Oryctolagus cuniculus: one gene and its partner. Each later gene encodes a partner of the first gene's protein in a complex. Links are inferred from orthologs where the notes say so. Each region holds a gene or a part of one and is shown on either strand. Other genes may lie near its edges.

Region 1 (7,311 bases):
CATAGAATGGCAGATGTCCTAAACAGCACTCTGGCCTCAGAATCAGCCCTTAAGGCATTTGGATCTGGCTTAAACAGCCCACGAGAGTTCCTCAGGCATGGAAAGCCAAGACACTGTGGCAAAAAAAAAAAAAAAAAAAGGCTTAAGTGAAATATCTCAGTATCTCTGTGAGTGAGATCCCAGTGGAAAGAACGGGTCATCAAAGAAGGAGGTACCTTTCTCTGAAGGGAGGAGAGACCTTCCACTTTGACTATGGCCTTGTCTAAATAAGGTGGGAGTTGGTGAACTCAAGAGGCTTCCATACCTTTGGAACAGCCTCGGGTGATTACTGACGTCATAAATAAGAATGTCAATTGTTAAATCAACAACAGGAGTCACTGTGCAACTACTCCCCATGTAGGACGTCTGTCCTTAATGTGTTGTACTATGCGAATTAACGGTAAAACTAGTACTCAAACAGTACTTTATACTTTGTGTATCTGTGTGGGTGCAGTTTTATGAAATCCTTACTTAATATATACCAAGTTGATCTTCTGTATTTAAAGATAATTGAAAATGAATCTTGATGAAGAATGGAATAGGAGAGGGCGGAGAGATGGGATGGCTGTGGATGGGAGGGAAGTTATGGGGGGAAAAGCTGTTATAATTCAAAAGTTGTACTTCGGAAATTTATATTTATTAAATAAAAGTTGAAAAATCAGGTTTTATAAGAATGGAAAAAAATAAAAGATTAAGGAAAGTAAAGTAAAGGTGAAAGCAACATTATTTAACAATTTTATGTCATGTCCCTGACAATAAAAAAATTTCGTTAAAAGAATTGAGTTTTTTGAGCCGAGCATTTGCATAGCAGTTAAGGGACCACTTGGGAGACCCACAGCCAATATTGGAGCACCTGGGTTCAAGTCCCAGTTCTGCTCCTGACCCCAGCTTCATGTCAATGTGCACTTGGGAGGCAACAGTTAACAGCTCAAGTGGTTGTACCACCTACTCATGTGAGACCTGAATTAAGTTCTTGGTCCTCGGGAGTGAATCAGTTGAAGTAGAGAATTGATAATATGATGTTAAATATGTTTCATATGGAATGGGGCTTGGTTTTGTTTACTGCTGTATCTAGTGTCTAATTATCTATTATTGCTAATTATGCCCTTGCCTAGAACAGTGCCTGACACATAGTAGGCATTCACTAAATATTTATGAAATAATTGATAATGAATTTTCTATTCCATTGGGTTTAGTCCAGTCCTCCATCAGTGAAGAGAGTATACCTCGCCTCTTAAGGATAATTCACAACAACAAGAACTAAGGCTTAAAACAATACACTTAACTGTGTACTAAAACTGAAATTTTTTTCTAGGTTTTCTAATTACAATATAGTTAAGTCCTAGTGAGCTAAACTTTTCTAGTTTTTTTATTCCTTCATTTTACTTGTTCTTGAGTATGTATTTAGTCTGTCTTTGGAGTAATTTTGGTACTGATCAATTTAAAACCATGAAGAGACTTGAAGTTCAGCCATGTTGTACTCTCTAAGGAGGTTTGCAAGTGTGTATTTTGTATCCTTTTAAAACCAGAAGAAGAAAAAAAGATTCCGTAAAAAGAAAGTTAGTCCTAAAGTGCAATTTTCATGGAAGAGCTTATGTTCAAGGCAAATTTCTTCTGTAATTATATATGTAATAAAATAGTATTTGATGCTCTTTTTATTTTTTTGGATAGGTTTTTTTTTTTTAAGATTTTTTTTAATTTGGAAGGCAGTTATAGAGAGAGATGGAGAGAGGAGCAGGGGTAAATGAGTGGGATCTTCCATCTGCTGGCTCACTCCTCAAACGGCCACAATGGCTAAGGCTGGACCAGGTCAAAGCCAAGAGCCTGAAATTACATTCAAGTCTCCCACATGGGTAGTAGTGGCCCAAGCACTTGGGCCATCTTCTGCTGTTTTCCCAGGTGCATTAGCAGGGAGCTAGATTGGAAGTGGAGCAGGCAGGACTTGAAACTGGCACACCTATCTGATGCTGGCGATGTAAGCAGTGACTTGACCTGGTACGCCACGCTGCCCCTGACTTCAGTGATTCTCAACCTGAACTTTACTTCTTGGTCATAGTGCATAATCAATGCCTAAATCCTGTTTCCCAAGTCTACTTTTCTTATATCTTAAACAAATTTAAAATGACTATCACAATTCTTAATTTTGTTTAAGACTAATAATATAACTGAATGGTGAAGGTCCTTCACAGAGGAAATATTGCCTTTAATATGAAATAATTTTCACCATTGTTGCTAACTTTGATAAAGTGTAGACTTTATGCAGTATTCACTTGAATCATTGGTAACATCTTCTATTTTAGGAAAACTTAATGTGTGCTTATGTTTGTTGAAAGATGCAGATAATCTCTTTGAACATGAATTGGGGGCTCTCAACATGGCTGCATTGTTACGAAAAGAAGAAAGAGCAAGTCTCCTTAGTAATCTCGGACCGTGCTGTAAAGCTCTGTGCTTCAGGCGAGACTCTGCCATCCGCAAGCAGCTGGTTAAAAATGAGAAGGTACAGTGATTTCCTTGGAAAACATGTGAAGTGAATAATGTGAATGGCATATTTTCCATTTGATTGCTTTAAAGAATCACAGCCTTACCTGTTTTTATGAGTTTGGTTTACTAGTCTTATACACATGTGAAAAAAAGAGTTCTGTTAAAGTTTGTGATATTTTTATCTTATTTCAATCATATTAATGAATAATTGTTTTAGATAACAGTTACTTGTTAGAAAAAGTCATGCACTTAAAAATGTGTAAAATATTCTATTTCTATGAAATTAATTTGTGAAAAGCTTCTGTAGATAAGTAAACGTTATTAGAAATTTATTTAAGTTGAATATAAAAAGAAACATTTTCTGGAGTTGTGAGGGTAGTGGAGTGTTTTTTTTTTTTTTTTTTTTTTTTTTTTTTTTTTTTTTTTTTTTTTTTTGACAGGCAGAGTGGACATTGAGAGAGAGAGACAGAGAGAAAGGTCTTCCTTTGCCGTTGGTTCACCCTCCAATGGCTGCCGCGGCCGGCGCACCACGCTGATCCGATGGCAGGAGCCAGGTACTTATCCTGGTCTCCCATGGGGTGCAGGGCCCACGCACTTGGGCCATCCTCCACTGCACTCCTTGGCCACAGCAGAGAGCTGGCCTGGAAGAGGGGCAACTGGGACAGAATCCAGCGCCCCGACCAGGACTAGAACCCGGTGTGCCGGCGCCGCAGGCGGAGGATTAGCCTAGTGAGCCACGGCGCCAGGCGATAGTGGAGTTTTTTGAGGGATTTGTTTATTTATTTTTAAAGGCAGAGTTACAGAGAGGGAGATCGTCTATCTGCTGGTTTACTCCACAGATAGCCACAATAGCCAGCGCTGGGCCAGACTGAAGCCAGGAGTTGGGAGCTTCATCTAGGTCTCCTTCTGGCGTGGCAGGGGCCCAAACACTTAGGCTATCATCTGCTGCTTTTCCCAGGCATTTTAGCAGGGAACTGAATCGAAAGTAGAGCAACCAGGACATGAACTGGAGAATGAACCAGCAGGTGGAAGATCTCTTTCTCTCTGTCCTTCTCTCTGTGTCACTCTGCCTCTCAAAAAATAAATTAATCATTATAAAAAAAAAAAAAAAGAAAAAAGAAAACTGATCCTAAAAGGTTAGAAAAACATTAACCTACTAGCTTTTTACTAGAGGCCATTAAGAAAACAGAATTGTCTTTGGATATATAACAATGCTGAAGTAACTGATACTTCATTTATGAAAACTACTCAGATGCAGAGGATTAAATTTATACAAACAAGAAGAATTCATCTCCAAAGATTAAAATGGAAATGGCTATGAGGCATGGGAGACTTATAAAAATATCAAGTCTTAGGTTTATAACCACCAAATCTACCTTGCTCAAAATTACTGATGACAAAATTGCTAAGGTCATCCTCCTTTGCTTCTCTCATTTCATTTGTATTTCTCCTTATTCTGTTGCCTACATACTCATCTCTCCTTACATCCTTTCTCACCTAGACATTTCTCTGAGAGAACTAAGCTCCCAGTATCCTAAACATGTATATAATGAATCACCTTCTCTTTTATGTATCTAGAATCGTTCCAGATATCACCATCCTGACTATTAAATTGAAAAATATTCATTCAAATCATTTTCTGTTTGGTTCATATAAGGAATCTCAGTTGAAAAGGACTGTATAATTTCTAATCTCATAAAAATTCTAACCTCCTTTTTAACAGTAATAGATTATAAAATACCCTGATTCTTCCTCTATTGTACCATGGTGCCCCTTTAAAATTGTGGCAAACAAAAGCACCTTGAAAATTTCTCATTGAGCACCATTGTTCAGAACCTTATAATCCTCCAGTGTAAGTCATAGACCATTAACATTCAGTAAGTTTTAATAGCACATTGTAATGTCTTAAACAATCCATCTGAAGAAAGTACCATAAGCTTTCTGATTATTCTGTTAAAAACATCAGCACAAAAGAGGAAAAAGACACAATTAGGCTGGCGCTGTGGCTCACTTGGTTAATCCTCTGCCTGCGGTGCAGGCACCCCGGGTTCTAGTCCCGGTTGGGGCGCCGGGTACTAGTCCTGGTTGCTCCTCTTTCAGTCCAGCTCTTTGCTGTGGCCCGGGAGGGCAGTGGAGGATGGCCCAAGTGCTTGGGCCCTGCACCCACATGAGAGACCAGGAGAAAGCACCCAGCTCTTAGCTTCGGATAGGTATAGCACTGGCCGTAGCGGCCTTTAGGGGAATGAACCAACAGAAGGAAGACCTTTCTCTCTGTCTGTCTCTCACTGTCTATAACTCTGTCAAAAATAAATAAATAAATAAATAAATAAATAAATAAATAAAGAGAGGACACACACACACTACATAGGAAATCCTCTGAGAAATGCTCTTAGAGGCTACGCATTAAAAAAAAGGATACAATTAAAGAAGAGTAATTTCAGATGCTAGACAGCCTCATGAAATATCCTAGGAAAACCAAATAGAAGCATTTAAGTTATATATGGTTATAAAAGAAAAGTCCAAAAAGGGGTCATGCATTGGGCTAACTGGTAGATTTTTTTTTAAGAGGTTTTTATTTTATTATTTATTTGAGAGGTAGTTACAGACAGTGAGAGAGAGACAAAGAGAAAGGTCTTCCATCCACTGGTTCACTGCTGGAGCTTGACCGATTGGATGCCAGGAGCCAGGAGCTTCCTCCAGGTCTCCCACGCAGGTGCTGGGGCCTAAGCACTTGGGCCCTCCTCTACTGGTTTCCCAGGCCATAGCCGAGAGCTGGATTGGAAGAGGAGCAGCCAGGGCTCAAATCTGTGCCAGATGGGATGCTGGTGCATAGATGGAGGATTAATCTGCACCACAGCACCAGCCCCCTAGACTCTTAGCAAGTGACAAAAAATGGAAAATCATTCAACCTACCCATTGAGATTGTGTCTGTTTAGGAGAATGATTTTTAAATATAGAAACTATAGTCCATATCACAAGAAATAGGTGAAGGATATTAAGAGAACACTTAAAAGCTTTAAATGTGCAAACTAAAAGAAGGCAATTATAAAGAGCAGAAATCAATGAAATTAAAAATAGGGAAACATTAGAGAAAAGTAGTGTCACCAACTGCTGGTTCCTTGAAGAGATAAATAAAATTGAGAACTCCCTAATCAGACTAACCAAAAAAAAAAAAAAAAAAAAACCACAAATTGTGGGAATATCATTACAGATCTCACAAGTAATAAAAAAGAAAATAAGGGGATATGAATAACTTAATAAACATGAATTTGGCTGGCAAGTTAGAAGAAATAGATAAATTCTTCTAAAACCACAGACTACCAAAACTTAATGAGTAAGTAATGAGCAACCTGAAGAGTCATCTCTATTTTTTAAATATAAAACTGTAGTCCCAGGTGATTGCACTGCCAAGATCTACCAAAAAAACATTTAAAGAAAAAATAACACCAATTCTCTGCTATTTCTTCCAGAAAATTAAAGTGGCAGAATCATTTCCCAACTTATTTTATGAGGCCAGAATTGCAAACACCTGACTAGATTTAAACTGGTATCTCTCATGAAACTAGGCATAAAAATGCTCAAAAATGTTAATAAATCAAGTTCAGTGATACATTTTTAGCCTAGGATTAAAGGAATGCCTCAGTATGCTAGAATTATAATCAACCATATTAACAGAAGTAAGAAAGACAAATATATTGATCATATCAATTGATGGAAAAAGCATTTGAGAAAATTCAACGTTCCTTTGTAATAACTCTTAGCAAGCTAGAATTAGAAGAGGTCTTTACAAAGGACATGTACATAAGACCCTCAGCTAACATCTTAGGTAATAATGAAAGTTTGAATGTTTTGTCCCTGAAGTTGGGAACAAGAAAGGATGTCCAGTCTCACTGCCCCTATTCAGCCTCATACTGGAACTTCTAGCCAGTTTGATTAGGCAAGAGAAAGGAATTGCATATATATAGATTGGAATGGAAGAAATAAAACTGTGTGTCTTCTCAGGTGACATGATTGCCTGCATAAAAGGTTTTAAGGAATTTGCCAAAAAATTCCTAGATCTAGTAAGAGTTTAGCAAAGTTACAAAATACAAGGTCAGCCTATAAAAAAAGTAGTTGTATGTTTGTATACCAGCGGTGAGCATCTGGATACTAAAATGTTAGGAAGCAATACTCCAGCTTCCCCACAAATGAAGTACTTAGGTATTAAAGAAACAAGAAAAAGAATCTTGCAAGATCTAGTTGTTGGATACTCAAAACAGTGATGAAAAAAACCAAGGACCTAAATAACTGAAGATTGAGACATCATATTCATGGAGTTGGAGACTCAATATAGTTAAAATTATGCTTCTCCCTCACATAAATCTGCAGAGTTAACACAATTTTTAGTAAAAAACTAAAGAGGATTTTTTTTCTATAGACAAGCTGAATCTAAAATTTGTGTGAGGTCTAAAGGAACTAGCAAAGCCAAAATAATTTTTACAAAAGAAGAATAAAGTTGGAAGATTTGTACTACTCAGTATCAAGACTTACTGCAAAACTATAGTATGTAAGATAGTACAGTGTTAGTAAAGGAGTAGAAATTCAGATGAGTGGAACAGAAAAGGGTCCAGAAGTAGACCCACACAGATACGATCTGTCAACTCAAGGGGTTGGTGTGGGGAGCTATACAAATTGTTTCTTTTAATTAAGTTTTCATTTTGAGATAATTGTTCTTTGTCAAAATTTAAAACATATTCTCTAAAGTATACTGGTAAGGGAATGAAAATACAGGCATAGTAGAAATATTTGAAA
Region 2 (7,311 bases), on another chromosome or scaffold:
GGAGCTGGATTGGAAGTGGAGCAGCTGGGACTAGAACCAGTGTCCATATGGGATGTCAGCACCGCAGGCGGAGGATTAACCTACTGTGCCACGGCACCGGCCCCCAAGAACAGTGGTTTTAGTAAGATTATTTTAATCACTATTTAGCAAGTTATAAGATTTCTTAAAATGGCATTTGTTTATTAAAAGGTATTGATTTTTTGCATTTGTGTTTGGTATTTTTGTAGGGGATTAAATCAGGTCACTAGTTTATATGTTCTATAGTTGTCTATAGGGTTTGTATTTTCTGCTGTAGCTGGAAAAAACTAATGCTGTGTGCCTTGCAAGAAAACAAAGTTGTGGGAGCATAGGTAGTCCAGTGAACAAAGCCCACTGTTTTTGACAAAAGGTGTCTGTCTCTTCATTATTTGACTTCTTCTTGTTAGGTTTTTTTTTTTTTAAAGATTTACTTTATTTATTTGAAAGACAGAGAGGGAGAGGAAGAGAGAAACAGAGATGGAGGTGTCTGTTCACTCCCCAGATGGCAGATGGCCTCAGTAGCTGGGGCTGGGCCAAGCCAAAACCAGTAGCTTCTTCCAGGTCTCCCACCTGGGTGCAGGTACCTGGGCCATCCTGCGCTGCTTTCACAGACTCATTAGCAGGGAGTTGGATCAGAAGTGGAGCAGCCAGGACTTAAATTGGCACCCATATAGGATGCCAGTGTCATAGGCGGCCTGCAGCAGCTTTATTTGCCATGCCACAATGCCAGCCCCCATTGTTTGGCTCCTAAGTGCTTACTCACTGTAGGCCAATCTGAAGATGCTGATGGGGAATCTGGAGCTACAGTAACAAAACAGCAGCTAATGGTTGCCGTAGAAAGGAATAAAACCCTATCATGCACTAACTTGGGGTTCACTTTTTCACAGATTTTTGTAAGGAGACTTAATTACAAGCTTTTTCCTTGAATTATGTTAGAACACACAAGTATAGGTAAAAGAACCTTGTAGTTTGCTTCAAAGAAAGAGAACTATAATTTTTAAAGTTCTAAGGCTTGATAGGATCAGATGGATTCTGCAGTCCTGAATCGGGCACCTGAATGCCATTACAATACAGACAGACTAAAATTTATAAAACATTTTGAGTATTAAGGTCATTCTGGACTTATCCTAATGATGGGAATGTAAAAGTATCCCTATCCCAGTCTCAGACATAATATCAAAATTACTACTTCAAAGTAGAACCCTTTTTATAAAGATTTATTTTATTTGAAAGGCAGAGTTACAGAGAGAGAATGAAATAGAAAGATCTTCCATCTGTTGGTTCGGGTTGGGCCAGGATGAAGCCAGGAACCAAGAACTGCAGTCTGGGTCTCCTGCGTAGGCCTAAGTTCTTGTTTACCTTCTGGTGCTTCCCCAAGCCTGTTAGCTGGGCGCTGGATGGGAAGTGCAATAGGCTGAAACCAATGCTCTTAGGGAATGCTGGCATTGCAGGTGGTGGCTTAACCCAAGGCACTGCTGCGCTGACCCCTAGATCCCAGTAAAAAATGTGATTTCTGCTATTACTGAGGCTGAAGACAAACGGTAGAGTTGTATTAAGAACCTGTCATTTGGGCTTTTCATTACATTCGTGCTGGAGCTACATGTGTGGTTTCTATAGTCTGTTGCACTAGCATTTGGAAACTAGTTTGTTGAAAGTATAGCCTTCCAAATTTGGTGGATATTTTCATGTTTGCCTTGTTTATGATAAGTAGCCCAGGCCTTAGTGTCACAAAGATGATGTTTTGCAGTATCAATAAAATGTTAACCACATACTGATATGGAATGGGGAAAAAAAAACTATGTCCTGCTTGACTGCTCAAAAGCATATAGTACCTAAAGAAGTTAAATAATTGAGGGCTTGATGAGTGGGAAGAGTCTTAAAACTTGAGGCCTCACTTAATATAATAGATAAATTAAGAGGTATGGGAAATAAATGTACAAAGAATACTGTGTTTTTCTCAAAAAATACATTCTTATTCATTTCTAGGTACTGTCTTATATTACGTATTTTAAAGACGTACACACTTGTGATTAGTACCTCATGTACCTTTTCAATAACTTTTTTGTTTAAGAAATCACAACACTTTAGTGTTAATTAATATTGGTATATCCAAGGTGTGTGTTTGTTGCCTGACCTGTTGCTATTTCAGATGATAATGTGAGAAAAATGAATAGATTTCAGAATTGATTATTGAGTAATACAAACAACAAAAAGTCTGGGCATGTTTTATTCAGGATTTATTTTTGCTGCTGGTTGGCAAAGCGCTGCAATGCAGAAGGTGGATGTGTTCGAGCAGCGAAGACGGTAACTGCAGGGCGGCATCAGCTGTGACGTAGTTCTGTTCTGTACCTGGTACATCTATCACTGTTGCGATTGTAAGCGAAGAAGATCATAGTTTTGTCTTCATTTTGTGATGGATGGCTCTTTCCTTTGCAGCCAAACAGGCAAAAAGTTAATGGCGAAGTGTCGAATGCTTATCCAGGAGAATCAAGAGCTTGGAAGGCAGCTGTCCCAGGGGCGTATTGCACAGCTTGAAGCAGAGTTGGCTTTACAGAAGAAATATAGTGAGGAGCTTAAAAGCAGTCAGGATGGTAAGGGTATTTTTTGGAGTTTGCTTAACTTCACACTGGCTTTTTATTAAGCCGCCAGGCATGGCTGTTACGTAGGTTCTGTACATGTTAATCTCTCCCTTATATAAAATTGAGTGAAACATTTCTAGCTGAGTCAACAAATAGACCACATTTAATGATTTTAGCGATTTTCCCCCCACTCACATAATTGTTGTGTAAATTTCCTAAGAAGTTTTGTTTTGAGGGGAATAGGAATTGGTGAGACATAAAAAGCATGTTGTTACTAAAATATACAAATTTAAATTTATATTCAGCACTTGGAAAGGAGGAGTATCTTCAGCCATTTCTCTTTAGGTTTAAAACATCATGGGGACATTTGGCAATTTCCAAATTAAAAGATTTTATGTTCAAATTTGCTGCGGAGTCAAACCAAGCTTGTAGTCTCTCTGCCTTTTTATGCAGGTATACCAGCATCTGTGCTGTTTCTCCTCTGTGCAGATTAATATTAGAACAAAATCCAAACTCACTGGAAGTTTTAGTTGAGAATTAGTGCATCTGATGGCTAATGAGATCAGTAGCCAGGTAATACCTTTTCTCTGTTTTTGAAAGGCAGAGTTAGGAAGAAACGCAGATTTTCCATCCGCTGATTCACTCCCCAAATGGCCACAATGGCTGGGGTTGTGCCAGGCCTAAGCCAAGAGCCCAGAGCCTCCTCCAGATCTCCCACATGAGTGTGGGGGCCCAAGCACTTGGGCTATCCTCTGCTGCTTTCCTGGGAGCATTAGCAAGGAATTGGATCAGAAATGGAGCAGCTGGGTTTTGAACCTGACCCCATATGGGATGCCAGCATCTCAGGCAGGTGTTTACCCAGCTTTGCCAGCACACTGGCCCCTAAAACAGCATTTTGAAAGTGATAGTCCGGGGCTGGTGCTGTGGTGTGGTGGGTGGGGCTGCCATCTGCAGTGCTGGCATCTTGTGTGGGCACCTGTTTGAGTCCCAGCTGCTCTGCTTCTGATCCAGCTCACTGCTGTGGCCTGGGAGGGCGGTGGAGAATGGCCGGGTCCTTGGGCCCCTGCTCCCGCGTAGGGGGCTCAAAGGAGGCTCCTGGCTCCTGGCTTCGGAGTGGGCCAGCAGATGAAAGATCTCCCTTTGCCTCTGCCTCTCTGTGACTTTAGCTTCCAATGAATAAATAGATCTTAAAAAGAAGAAAAGTGATAGCTCTTAGCCTTTGTTATCTGTGAACATGTAAATAGATTGTATAGCAGTGAAGGAGTTTTTTCCAAAGGCCTCTTAGAACTTAGGAACGTGTGCATTTTCATAGTCAACAGGAGTTATGTTCTGAGATTTTTGCTTTCCTCTGTAGCAGAGAACAGTGTTCAGTTAGGGCATAAACTTACTTGGAGTGTTAAGGTAGAAAACCACACTGTCCTAAGGGCCCTACCTGCGTGGAGTGAAGACCCTGGCTAGGAGAGTGAGGAGATAGGAACTGGCTCTGGGGGCCTGCAGGTAATCGTGGGCAGATTTTGGGGGTTGTCACAGTTCTTTATGGTGAGATGGTTTGAATCAACTTAACTTGCTTTGATATGTGTATGTAGAGAGAGACATATTAACAGTATATTCCTTTACGCAGTCTACTCTGAATGAATTCTAATTCTTGAATGGCTATTTTTAAATTCTAGTACATTTTTAAAAAATAGTATTGTGATTTTAAAGTGTATCAGTGGTTAATAAGCACTCGGCAGTGGCCCTGTGGCAGCGCTTAGGAAATGCTGTTCAGTGAGTTCTGAGACTGAAGTGGGTCTGACTCTCTCTGCACAGAACTGAACGACTTCATCATCCAGCTGGACGAGGAGGTGGAGGGCATGCAGAGCACCATCCTCGTGCTGCAGCAGCAGCTGAAGGAGACGCGGCAGCAGCTGGCGCAGTACCAGCAGCAGCAGCCTCAGGCCTCCGCGCCGGGTACCAGCAGGACTGCGTCCTCGGAACCTGCAGAGCAAGGCGAGGCCGCGAGTAAAGACTGCAGTCGGCTGGCCAACGGACCAAGCAACGGCAGCTCCTCCCGGCCGAGGACGTCTGGGTCTGCATTTCACAGGGAGGGGGACGCGACTGAAGATGACTTTGCGTCTTCTCCAGGGAGTGCTAATAAGGCCTCCAGCAGCTCGGAGGAGAGACCCGGCAGAGGAGGTAGTAGTTACGCAAACCAACTCAGTGCGGGGTACGAAAGTGTAGACTCTCCCACGGGCAGTGAAAACTCTCTCACACACCACTCAAATGACACAGACTCCAATCATGACCCTCAAGAGGAGAAAGCAGTGAGTGGGAAAGGTAACCGAACTGTGGGTTCCCGCCACGTCCAGAATGGCTTGGACTCAAGTGTAAGTGTACAGGGTTCAGTTTTGTAATATTTTTCCAGCAAATTTTTATACAGTGTCATTTAATTTGGGAGAGGATACTGTCCAGAAAAGTAATGCATACTTTTGTCACAGTTTGCCTTTTTGTGGGTGTGTGTTGTTTTGTTTTTTTGCTTCAATACCTCTGCCACCTTGGAATTACAGCAGTTAATTACTTTGAATGTTGCTAAAAGGACATTTTTGTGTAGGGTCAAGTTATTTTTATATGAGTTAATGTGAAGTTGTAAATGGAAATCTTTCCTTAAAGTATACCGCGATGATGTCTGTAAATCTGTCTCTAGAACCCAAGCTGTAAGGCATCCTTCCTCCTGCTGTTGCACCATGCAGACGTGTTAGAGTAGATGTGGACCTAGGACTGCCGCGTTGCCCAGTACACTAGTTTTATCACTGAGAGTTGGACTTGCTGATGGAGTCCTGTAGTAGTTTCAGTGTTAGATGCAGTTTTCCCACCACACATCTGTGCATTTTCTCTTTAGGTGACTGAATGTGTAAGAAACGTGTGTGCATAGTTACTCAGTTTTTATGAACTGTTGTATCCTGTTAATGCATATTGCTCTGTGACTCCAGTATATCTTACCTGTACTGACCAAACCTAAATAAAGATTTTTATTGTAACTCCTTTATTGGTTGTCTTGTTGTATTTTGGATGTGTTTGGTAGTCATTTATTTTCCTTGAATTGGCTGAATTTCTGCTCATTATTCTTGAATATATAACAAAGGTGAAACTTAAAGTGTATGCATTGATTTTGATTGTGGACATAATTTTTAATTTTTGCCTTGTACAGTGAAGTCACAGTGTAGGAATTATTTTTTCCCCTGAGTAACAAAGGTAACTGTTATAAAATGCTGGAAAATACATCAAAGACTACAATAAATATCTAAATATTTTAAGTTGTGATCTGATTTCAAGCAATTAGGTTTTCTATACAGTCTGATAATTTTTAAAAAATATTTATTTGAAAGTTACACAGAGAGAGAAGGAGAGGCAGAGAGAGAGAGAGAGAGGTCTTCCATCTGCTGGTTCACTCCCCAATTGGCCGCAATGGCTGGAGCTGGGCCGACGTGAAGCCAGGAGCCAGGTCTCCCATGCGGGTGCAGGGGCCCAAGGACTTGGGCCATCTTCTACTGCCTTCCCAGGCCACAGCAGAGAGCTGGATCGGAAGGGGAGCAGGCAGGACTAGAACCAACACCCATATTGGATGCCAGCACTGTAGGCAGTGGCCCTGATAATTTGTTTTAAAACATTGGCCAGCACGTGTTTGCTAATAGCATACCAGTACCAGGTATTAGAATGTAGGGAAGATGGTTTTAAGGTGTGAGACTGTCAGTGCTCCATTTTTTGCCTCTTGTAACTAATGATCTTGCTCTATGTGATATTGCATGTCTTTAGAATCTGCCTTTCCATATATGGTTAGGATGAAACTTGTTACTTCTGCCAAGAGCAGACTACTCAGCTGGGCTGGGTAGAACCTGTACAGTCAAGCAACTTCAGAGGCGGAGCTATGGTCACAGCTGCTGACCTCTGACGCGGGTATGTCTGATCTCAGTGGTGGATTGAAAGTGCTGCAGTGTTACTGAACTATGCAGTTTGCTCAAGGGACTAAATGTTTACCTTTTTAAAATAAATATATATAATTAAACATTGAATCGATTCATCAAACTCTGTGAACTCTGGCTTTTGTTCATGGATGTTCTTTTAATCTTTTAACTTGTTTGAACTCTGTCCTGTGGGTGTTAGGTGATTCTTGATACGTAATGGAAAATTTTCAGCCAATAGTACAGTTGCAAGGATTTGATTCTTAGTCTTCAGTTATCTTTATTGATATATTTATTTTAATAGAGTTAGATCTCCCTTCCTCTGATTCACTCTCCAAATGATTGCAACGGCCAGGCTGAAGCTAGGAACTTCTTCCAGGTCTCCCAGTTGGGTGACAGGGGCCCAAGCACTGGGGCTGACTCCTCCTTTCCCAGACCATTAAGCAGGCGCCTGGAACTCCACCGGCACCCACACAGGATGCTGGCAATGCAGACGGCGACTTTACCCGCTATGGCACAGCACCAGTTCCATCAGTAATACAGTTGTGTAACCTGACATTAATACAGGTTTGTCAGTGTGATTATGAGTTTTCACATTTCTGTTGATGGATAACTTAGGCATTTAATTAATATTTCTCACTTCTGGAGTTGGCTGCTTCATTGCGGGTGTGATTCAAATCCATCCTCAAGTTAGAGGCTGGTTTCCAGGGCTCATAGGTTTGAATCCTGGCACTGCTGTCCCTCATGCATGCCTTCGGCCACCGCTTCGCCTCACT

Evidence for each region. Proteins that work in one complex are often made in the same cells at the same time.
Region 2: the proteins of ZC3H13 (region 1) and WTAP are in contact, whole or in part, in a cryo-EM structure (PDB 7VF2), measured with the Homo sapiens proteins. The link is inferred for Oryctolagus cuniculus from reciprocal best matches to the Homo sapiens genes ZC3H13 and WTAP. Residues at the interface, in NP_001317494.1 of Homo sapiens: Arg1512, Pro1514, Gly1515, Ala1516, Ala1517, Leu1518, Lys1520, Phe1521; in NP_001257460.1 of Homo sapiens: Asp202, Glu203, Asp206, Phe207, Gln210.

What each region holds. Positions count from the first base shown.
Region 1 is NC_091440.1:65,026,765-65,034,075, reverse strand, and holds part of ZC3H13 (zinc finger CCCH domain-containing protein 13), read left to right. Parts: intron 1-2,372; coding exon 2,373-2,536; intron 2,537-7,311. UniProt on the Homo sapiens protein: Associated component of the WMM complex, a complex that mediates N6-methyladenosine (m6A) methylation of RNAs, a modification that plays a role in the efficiency of mRNA splicing and RNA processing.
Region 2 is NC_091436.1:8,284,075-8,291,385, reverse strand, and holds the end of WTAP (pre-mRNA-splicing regulator WTAP), read left to right. Parts: intron 1-2,454; coding exon 2,455-2,609; intron 2,610-4,406; coding exon 4,407-4,990; 3' UTR 4,991-5,622; downstream 5,623-7,311. UniProt on the Homo sapiens protein: Associated component of the WMM complex, a complex that mediates N6-methyladenosine (m6A) methylation of RNAs, a modification that plays a role in the efficiency of mRNA splicing and RNA processing.